3 linked regions of the Saccharomyces cerevisiae S288C genome follow. The protein of the gene in region 2 binds, or shares a complex with, the protein of the main gene of each other region. Each region holds a gene or a part of one and is shown on either strand. Other genes may lie near its edges. The genes, in order: KAE1, GON7 and PCC1.

Region 1 (3,600 bases), on a different chromosome or scaffold from region 2:
CCTTGCCGTCTCTACGTGAAACGGATTGTTTCTCAGGGTTGACTTTGAACAGAAGATACGCCTCGTCGTGGTTACAGTCCTTTATTAGTCTAGTAATGTCTTTTCTAATGCTTGCCTTGTTGCTTGCTCCCTGTAGGATGGCATTATGAAAAATTCCTGGTGGCTTGAAATAGAGTGTGGACATAGAGTCCACCGCCCTATTAATATCATCTATACATCTATCCAAGCTTTCCCCCATTCTGTAATTGCCACGTCTTATTTTGTTAGGTGATGATCTAATTTTTTTGAGCTTTGTTTATTGATTATTTTCAAATGTCTCTTGCTTATTTTCGCGCTTCCACAAGGTTATACACTGAGCTGTAAATGTAAGGTGTATGGCATATATAAATATATATATATATTCGTAGTGTGAACATTAGGCTAACTGTAACAAAAATCGTTAATCACGCCAGGCTGCGTATACTTCATCGGTTCTGAATTTCTGCGTAACAACAGTTTCAGAAAAGTCCTTCACGATCCCACCCATTCTATACTCTAGTAGTCCTGCTTGGGCAATCATAACTCCGTTATCGATACAAAACCTATTATCTGTAGCATGTACTTGCCCATTGGCCCTGTCTTTACACATTTGCGCCATCATTTCTTGTAATCGCACGTTACAACCAACACCGCCTACGATCAAAACTTGATTGGAGTTAACGTGAGCCATAGCTCTTTCTGTTATTTCAACTAGCATGGCGAATAGGTTCTCTTGCAGAGAGTAGCAAAGATCCTCTACAGTGACTTTTTGCTCGCCCGTTGTCTTGTCGAATAGGATCTTATTTTTCTTATTGCCCTTAAATAGATCCTTGGCAAGTAAATCGATGGAAGCCAATATACCACTCATCGAAAGATCCATCCCCTTTACTGTATAGGGAAGTTCTACCAAGTTTTCTTTGTGAGGGGCTTTTTTAGCTAACTGCTCGATGTTGTAGCCAGGCGAGGGCTCATTAGGTATCTTCAGAGTTCTTGCAAATCTATCAAGACAATTACCGATAGCAATATCAAGCGTTTCACCAAAGATACGGTACCTTTTTTCCGAGTATGCAATAACTTGTGTATTTCCACCACTTACATACAGTACCACAGGATTTTGAGCTTTAGTGATTTCTCTCCCCATTTCGATGTGACCAATGCAGTGGTTTACTCCCACCAGTGGCACGTCCCACAGTAAGGAGCACGTTCTGGCGGCGATGACAACTGAATGCAGAGGGGCCCCCATGCCGGGACCTTTGGTAAAGCAAATTACATCAATGTCTAGTGTCGGGCTTTTGATGTCAGCTTCGGCCAGTGCTTGTTTTATGAGTCTTATGCACCAATTTCTGTGATGCCTTGCCGTGTCTCGAGGCAAAAATCCCTCCCCAGGAGGTGTGACATATGTGTCTCTAATATTAGAAAGCATCTCAGCTTCGCAATCATAAGATAGATCGCTGTTGGCATGTTTAGGCAGAAGCGGATGCTTAACTATACCAACGCCCAGTTTATTTGCAGAACCTTCAAGTCCAAGCGCAATGTAGTAGTCCCTGCCATTTTTGGGTGGGATAGTGTTCAAGTTGACCATTTTGCTCCCGACTGCATTAGGGAACGCTTGGGAATTCCCTTCACGTAAAAGATAAATATATGCATCGTTGCACGAAGTAAAAATGGTTACTCTCGAACTCATCATAATGAAAGAATTCAGTTTTTCCGTATAAAGCGATATTACAGGAGGAATAAAAAGCAAAATAAAAAATCTCCGCGACGGGGAATTGAACCCCGATCTGGCACGCGACAAGCGCCCATTCTGACCATTAAACTATCACGGAACGTTATTTGTTGGATTTTTTCTCTTAGTTTTAAATATTTATATTTCGTCGAATTGGTACCTCTACAGCTCAGAAGCAGATGTCTTCAAGTTTTTTTATTGTGTCTAAATAAGAATCAACCATTATCTTGACAAATGGGTGAATTTTAAGATAATTGTTGGGATGCCATTGATGATAAAGACTATAATATACATACACAGAATATACTAGAAATTGTACTCGAGCACATAGGAATCCTCAAAATGGAATCGATATTTCTACATAATAATACTACGATTATTTTCTGCTTTCGTTTTATATGTTTCATTATCCTATTATATTATCAATCCTTGCATTTCAGCTTTCATTAGATTGATGACTATTTTTCAACCTTATGTCCTCTTCTTACACCGCATATGATAGTATACTAGCAATATGAATATTACTAAACAGATGATATTTCAACATCATGTTTTGCTTAGTAGACTCTTGCGGGCGTTCCATCCGTGTGAAATACATCATTTACACCTCGCTCTGGGTCAAGTAATCAAAAAATACCTCGTCGAATATCTTCGACAAATCTGTCGCTTGGTTTATGTTTGACCTGATGTATATAAAATCATCACTACCCAATTTAGAGAACACATTGCGTTGCCCGGCCGGCAAAAAATCCTGGGCCAAAAGTTAAAAGAAACTTTCTCATACTCACTCTGAAGTTGTACTATTACGAAGCACTAAAGCATTGATAGATAAATCAACACAGAACATACATGATTAAATTAGACACAGCTCTCTGTATTTTTTACTGTTTGAACTAAGGTTCTAATACTTACACATTCTTTTCAACCCATCAGATGGTGTCTTGCCCCTGCTTACGTAACCTACAACAATAGATTAGACACACCAGTGCCAAGGACAATATGTTGCGTTCTGACTAGTCGAAGTATCATTACGCTGTGCAGATCGACCTGACACCAGACACAAAGGAGAATAGGGGCAGCATGAGTTCCGTCGGCGACTCATTCCGACCTTCCACAGGTCCGTTGATTACTTTTTCACTGATCCGGTGGAATCTATGGTTGTTTTTTTCATCATGATATCTGTTTTAGGACTTTTTTTTTCAGCCGATCGCTTATCTGCTCACTAGAATCGTAATCAGTGATATTTTTATTAATAATTATTATTTATTTTTTTTTATACCATTTCCTTTTGATAAGGGGTCGTTGGTGCCGTGCCGCTATCAGGCAGCCTCACTAATCTACCCATTGACCTCATGCAGCAAAGTCACATCGCCCATATCTCTCGAGTGCGATAACGGGGAACTTGATTTGGTAACTGATAAGATTGTTAAATGTCAGTTTGGATGCTTTTTCTTACGTCCGATTAGCTTATCTTCTGGAGCAACCGGCCATTTACCTCCTCATAGTAAATTAAACATGATAAGCGCATAGTTGGGGCAACACACCTTTCTTCCGGAATTCGCTCTGGATGAGACATATAAAGATGAAGGTGAAGTCCACTTAAATGAATGTCAATGAGACGATGTTTTTTCTCCTAGATTGATTTTTGAATTCCTTGTATACAAAGTCTTGTTTTCTTATTGTCCTCAACAAAACAAAAGTAGAAAAGAACAGACCAAGGACAGCAACATTTATAAGAAACAAAAAAAAGAAATAAAAAATGAGTAATACTTCTTCGTACGAGAAGAATAATCCAGATAATCTGAAACACAATGGTATTACCATAGATTCTGAGTTTCTAACTCAGGAGCCAATAA
Region 2 (3,117 bases):
AATCAACCGGCTGGAGGCAGGAATTTCGTTAATATACAGCCCATGGGATGGAGAATATGATGCACCGGCGGAACGAGAAATTGGATAGAAGCGATTGGAGAAGAAATAGAGGATAAAAACAAAGGCCGTTATTATCGACAAAAATTTACAAGTTCCGTACTTGTTCTGCTTGAAACCAAGCCTGTTGAACCACTGCGAACCCACCGATCTTGAGGAGTACGTTTTGCCCTTCGTTCTTGGTTTGATTGCCATTTTAACGAGTCCTAACACAGCTAACACCAACAACAAACCGGCAGGATGATTCCAAGTTGAAAATTGGCTTTCTTCGCATCATTTAGGAGTCGATCAATCCTTCTTAACTGTATCCCATCGTGTGTTTATTATTTTTTTATATCAACTCTTCCTAGTTCAACAATTATCACTTGTAACGAAATATTTGTCATTTATCATTAGACTCTTTTCTGTTTGTATATACACTCTCTAGCGCTACATATCGTTGCCTAAACAGCATCTTCGTCACCGTCACCACCATCTAATAGCTGGTTAATCTCTTCCTGGATCCGCTTCTCGTCTGCGCCGGCTTTCTTCTTATTTTTTGCCAATTCCATTCTTCCTGTCAAAAACTCGTTAATATCGTCCTGTAGCCCCGTCAGCTGCGTGCGCAGCTGGCCTAAGTATGTCAGTTGTGAGCCATCTTTCGTGCGTTCCGGTTCTGAAGGTTTGTCTCTATCGATTTGGCCAGCGTTTAGCACATGGTCACTGGGCCCAGTTGTCCTTCCCTCTGTGGTCATGTATCGAGGGTCATCGCGTATTGGTGCAAAACTTTTTTCCACACCATCTGGTGCACTGTACTGTGCTACCGGTAGTTTCATTGAGATATTAGGATAAGGTTCCAGTGCACTATCGGCTGTATATATTTATTTAGCTCTAACTTGGTTCAGTAAAACTACCAATAATCAGATGGGATATTCTTAAGTTACTCATTACTAGAGATCCGGGTAAAATTTTTGACCTGACAAGGCCGTAACACTGGAAACAGGAAGATCAACAAAGAAACTAAATAAACACCTATCGTAGTTGCTAATATAGAGCTTTAAAAAATCACGCTCTGTGGTGCTAAGACACTATTCTATTGTGCCATCACTAGAGCATTCGCGTTAAGATACTTTCACCAAGATAAACATCGTTATACACGTACGATCTACGTGCGGCTGTAGCGTAATCCCGAATAATACAAATCTTTTGAAGGGATAGATTTCTATATACTTACGAATGTCGACAAGGAGCAAAGGTTGTATTCAGGGCTTAAAATACTAAAATTTGGTGGTCAGTACAGCTCATTAATGGCATCTGTGAACAATTACCAGGTTGATTGCGGGTCAAGGTCTGCTCGCATTCAACCCAGAATTAATAACGGCATTCACGATGAAGAATCGCTATTTGAAGTCCTGGAACTCTCAGAAGAGGAATTTGAGCTAGACTTCCATAGATTAAAGTCATTCAATGATGTAAGGGTTATCAATAACCCAGATTTATCTCCAGAATGTACAAATACTGCCATTAGTCGCGATGAGACACTGGAATCTGCAAGTAGTGCCTTCGAAGTTCCTTCTGACGAAATTGCTATACTGTCGATATCCAGTGACAGCAATAAAAATTCTCCGCCCTCAGAGCAGCCGGCGCCCGCTCTTCGTAACATTCGATCGTCTAGTAACTCTGACCGGATCGATGAGTGGTGTTTGGGCAGCCATTTATTTAATGAGCTGCATCAAAATGTCCCTCAATCAAGCGACGGTGTCAATCATGGATTTCCCGTTTATTCCTTTAAGGAAAGAGAACTTTATACCTCTGCGAAATTAAAGAAACTTACAAATGCCCAAAGAATTGCTGTGCAGAAACTATCAAGAGACTTGTATCCAATTCTAAGAACATGCTACCGCGAGAAAACTCGCCGGCAATTATTGACATACCATCATGAAAGAATATTTGACGATATACCATCTTTTTTCCCCCAGCGTGACTTTATTTTCAATTACTACTCGATGCCTCTTGAATTCGACAGGTTGTCAGACGTAGATATAGATTCGTCATCGCGGTCACGATTTACAGATGAGAGCACTGGAGAAACATTAAACCGTTCACCAAGCGCAGCGTCTTCGTCGTTGGAAAACACATCTTGGTTTGGCTGGACTTTACTTTCTAGGTTTTTGGACAGAGAATGGTAGAAGAAAGTTAGATACCCTCATTCTAAAACGTTGTCCGAACACCATCAGTTAGTTTTTTCTTGGTTTCATTTTTTCATTTTTTTCTAAGATGTATATATATCCGTGCACATATATGCTACATTATATTATACAAGGTCGGATGGCGAGTTATTATTAAATTATTATAGTTAATCACTTCATTAGTTTTTCTCCCCCATAGCTTCTTTGTGTGTGCTCTCCAGATAATTAACATGATTGGTCAAATACTCACACATTGCATCCCATTCTGGGGTATTAACTTTATCGGTAAAATACTTGAATTTAATAACTTGGCTTTTCGGAGTGGTACAGAAGGACCCCCTCATATCATTGAATAAAAACAATTCAAAATCCATTCCATAGCGATGCGGCTTCCTGAAGCCCCGTACTTGTTCGCCATTTGGACCGATAAATCTGTTTTCATGATAAAGAGTCCATGGATCTGCCTTGTAGAAACTGGCATGAATGAACATGATATCCAAATCAGAACCGTCATCATTAACCATCAAAGTTTTCAAGAAACCATTGTCCAAAGTATAATCTGGATCCAGTTTGGAAAATTCCTCAATGTTGGCTTTAACTTTCTGCTGCGCCTTTTGGTATTGCTTGTAATCTTGTTCAAAATCATGCTGGAGCAAGGCGAGACCCTTGTAATCATCTTTTTGATAGAAGAAACCATCAAATTCAAAGTTAGTCCTCACTTGATAGTATGGCATATTCAAGGCATGGGCAGCAGCGACGAAAGTGTCTTTGTCACCTTCACCGGCAGTGCCTTGAGAAATCATCTTATAATACCAGGTAGGCCCATAAACATTATAGTATAGCGCCAGTAATAGAGTGTTGAAATGGCGAATCTTATCAATCACCATCTGGC
Region 3 (2,840 bases), on a different chromosome or scaffold from region 2:
AATATAGTGGATTGTGAAACTCCTTCGGTCTATATATGAATCTCACCCGTCTGTAACTCTGGATCTAATTTGTTAGTCGTTAAGCGTTGATGATTCAACCAATATGCACCAGGAAAGAAGGAAATCAATATAAACAGCTGTTCCTCAAATTTAGGGAAAAAAAAAACAAAAAAGCGGAAATTTAACAGCGATGGGAAATAGGCCAACACCAAAGCTCTATATCCTCTTTAAAAAAGACGTCTGAGTTGATATTTGCCAAAGCTTTTATTTGTTCTCTCTTATCTTACTCCAAGGGCCTAGCATGACTTCTACAATCCAAGAAAAACGCCAAGCGCCGTCACCCTTTCATATTAAAACTTTCTGCGTTACCCAGCTAATGGGAGTAAATAAGGCCTCATCTACCATCCACATGCTTGCTTTACTCAAAGCAAACAATTGTTTATTTACACGCAACCCCAGGACATTTAGCAACTATACCTCTCTTTATTTTTTTATCTTAATGCTATTTTAAATATTTAAGTTATGATGTGCATGAATGCCGTCTAGATACTTATACTATATGTACACTAATACGGTGTTCTAATTATTTATGATAGAACGTCCATGGCTTCCACAATGGTTTTGATACTGTCTATGATACTGCTAACTCCCACTCGAAGCACCCTATCATCAATGCTTCTGAACTGGACTAGCATGACATTTTTCTCGGAACTGTAGTCTACTTGAAAATCTTGTGGCTTCAAAATCGGGTCCGGAGATAGGACTTTGGTTGCTATGGTCGCTTGTCGCTCCGTTTCAAACGGTATCTTTAGTTCTCTAATGTTTGGAAAGTTTAAATAGTTAGTAAACTATGCAGTGCGGTCTTCCCATTGAAAAACTGCTTCTACTTACAATGTGTGATCCAGTGACTTTTCCCGTTTGCTTGTCATCAATTTTCTTAGCTGTCTATGTTGGCAGACTTGTTTCAGTCAAGTTGATCTGGGTTCTTCCACCATTCATATTATTTTAACTTAAAGGACCAGCGGTGTCGCTGGAGTTTTCGCGAAGACCTACTTTTTTCTCGTTTGGTGGGTGGAACAGAGATCGGAACACTAAGAAAATCTGTTTGGAACATTCAAAACACAAACCGTAAGATTCATGATTCCATTTCCATATATAGAGGATTCTGTGTTTGGAGTATTAAAAAATCGGCATTTGAGCTATTTACGTGACTTCATCTTAGCTTATACATATATAAACTTTATGAAACAAGAATGCTGTTGTACGTATATTACAAATGGTCTTGACATAGGGCAGAATGAAGCTCCTCCACATTGAAAAAGGTTTAGTTTGTATTGATCCCTTGTTTTTACTATCTCCTTTATATACTGTTCTCGTCATTCACCTTATCGGTTTCTTTTTCTTCCTCATCTTCAGTCTTGATCTTTTTTGACTCATTAATGTTTTCTGTAGTGTCGTCTTCATCATTTTTCAGCTCTCCTACCTCATCAATAGGTCGCTTGTTGGATTTCGTCTGCTCTTCTATTGCCTCTCCTCTTTTAACAGGTTCTCCCTCTTTCTTTTTTTCTGTATCCTCTTCCGATTGAACATTTCTGTTCGATGAATCCTTTTGGGCAGGATTGTTGCTAGTAAGTTCTTCATCATTTGTATCAGTTGACAAAGTGGAAGATGAAGATATTAGACCCCTTGAGGCGGGAATGTTGAAGCTGGGTTCCAAATGAGTTGGTGGATCTGTCTTGTTAGCCAACGACTCCCTTTTGTCATTATCATTTTGTAAGTGCTTATTTGGGGATGGCGAGGTAAAAGGGTTAAATCCACCTGATGAAGACTTAGAATTTAGCTTTAAGAGTTTTTCACCGGAAAGTAACGGATTGAATGGTGAATTTGAATTCTCTTCGATTTTCCTAGGTAATCCTAGTAATGGATTTTGTACATTGTTAACAGATTTCGGAGGACTCTCGGCACTTTGTTTTGTTTCTGACAATTGAGATTCCATCTTGGCAAGTTTTCTTTCCAAAAGGGTAGTTTTCATCATTGCTTGTTGCTTTCCTTCGTCGAAGGATTTCTTCTTTATGGCTTGCAGTTCATTGTTGAACTCCTCCCTCAACCTGCTTTCGATTTCTGCTCGTAATTTGTCCCTTTCATCATCTGAGATATGACTTGAGTGTGGTACATCTTTGAGTTCTTCTTGTAATTTTTTGTTATACTCGTTTTCCAATTCCTTTTGTTTCTCTTGAACCTTAGCTTCTAGCTGTTTTCGAAGCACCACGTCTATTTCTCCAGATTGTTCCATTGATTTTATTCTCTCCTCAACCTTTTCTTCAAACTCTTTTTCCAATTCCTCCTTCTTTCGTTCGATTATCTTATTAATTTTCTCCTCAGTGGGTAATCTGATTCGCTTTTTGAGGGCTTCCTCAGCTTCGCGAATCTTTTGAGATACTTCCTGTTCGTGCTCAGATTCCCATTTTTTTTTAATCTCCTCCATATTGATATTGGAAGGTTGATTTAGCCTTTCTTGGGCCTCGAGTATTTTTTCATTAACTTCTTGGGTTTTTTCTTTGATGAATTTGATTTTATCTTCTTCAAAAGACTTTTTCATAGACTCAACTATGTTAGATAAGTCATTTTGTTCATTTGCAGATGTAGCTTGTAACTGTTGCTGGATTTGCCTTTGTTTTTCAATTTCTTCTTTTAATGTTGTAATCTCTTCATTTAAGCCGTTTATCGTAGATTCGTAAGAAGTCGTACTTTCTTCTAACTTGGCTTGAAGCTCTCTTGAAGCCTTTTCTGCGTCTTCTTGTAATTTTCTTATTGCTTCTAACTGGTTGTTACCTTGTGCT

The links.
Region 1: GON7 (region 2) and KAE1 share a complex: the UniProt entries of both Saccharomyces cerevisiae proteins name them as parts of the EKC/KEOPS complex.
Region 3: GON7 (region 2) and PCC1 share a complex: the UniProt entries of both Saccharomyces cerevisiae proteins name them as parts of the EKC/KEOPS complex.

Annotation. Positions count from the first base shown.
Region 1 is NC_001143.9:511,560-515,159, forward strand, and holds KAE1 (tRNA N6-adenosine threonylcarbamoyltransferase), read right to left. Parts: upstream 1,601-3,600; coding exon 440-1,600; downstream 1-439. Other genes in the region: SPC34 (Spc34p), read right to left, coding at 1-238; amino acid permease GAP1, read left to right, coding at 3,504-3,600. UniProt on the Saccharomyces cerevisiae protein: Component of the EKC/KEOPS complex that is required for the formation of a threonylcarbamoyl group on adenosine at position 37 (t(6)A37) in tRNAs that read codons beginning with adenine.
Region 2 is NC_001142.9:81,203-84,319, reverse strand, and holds GON7 (chromatin DNA-binding EKC/KEOPS complex subunit GON7), read right to left. Parts: upstream 873-3,117; coding exon 501-872; downstream 1-500. Other genes in the region: MNN11 (alpha-1,6-mannosyltransferase), read right to left, coding at 1-252; ATG36 (Atg36p), read left to right, coding at 1,344-2,225; alpha-1,2-mannosyltransferase MNN5, read right to left, coding at 2,405-3,117. UniProt on the Saccharomyces cerevisiae protein: Component of the EKC/KEOPS complex that is required for the formation of a threonylcarbamoyl group on adenosine at position 37 (t(6)A37) in tRNAs that read codons beginning with adenine.
Region 3 is NC_001143.9:623,953-626,792, reverse strand, and holds PCC1 (chromatin DNA-binding EKC/KEOPS complex subunit PCC1), read right to left. Parts: upstream 930-2,840; coding exon 892-929; intron 817-891; coding exon 588-816; downstream 1-587. Other genes in the region: MLP1 (Mlp1p), read right to left, coding at 1,361-2,840. UniProt on the Saccharomyces cerevisiae protein: Component of the EKC/KEOPS complex that is required for the formation of a threonylcarbamoyl group on adenosine at position 37 (t(6)A37) in tRNAs that read codons beginning with adenine.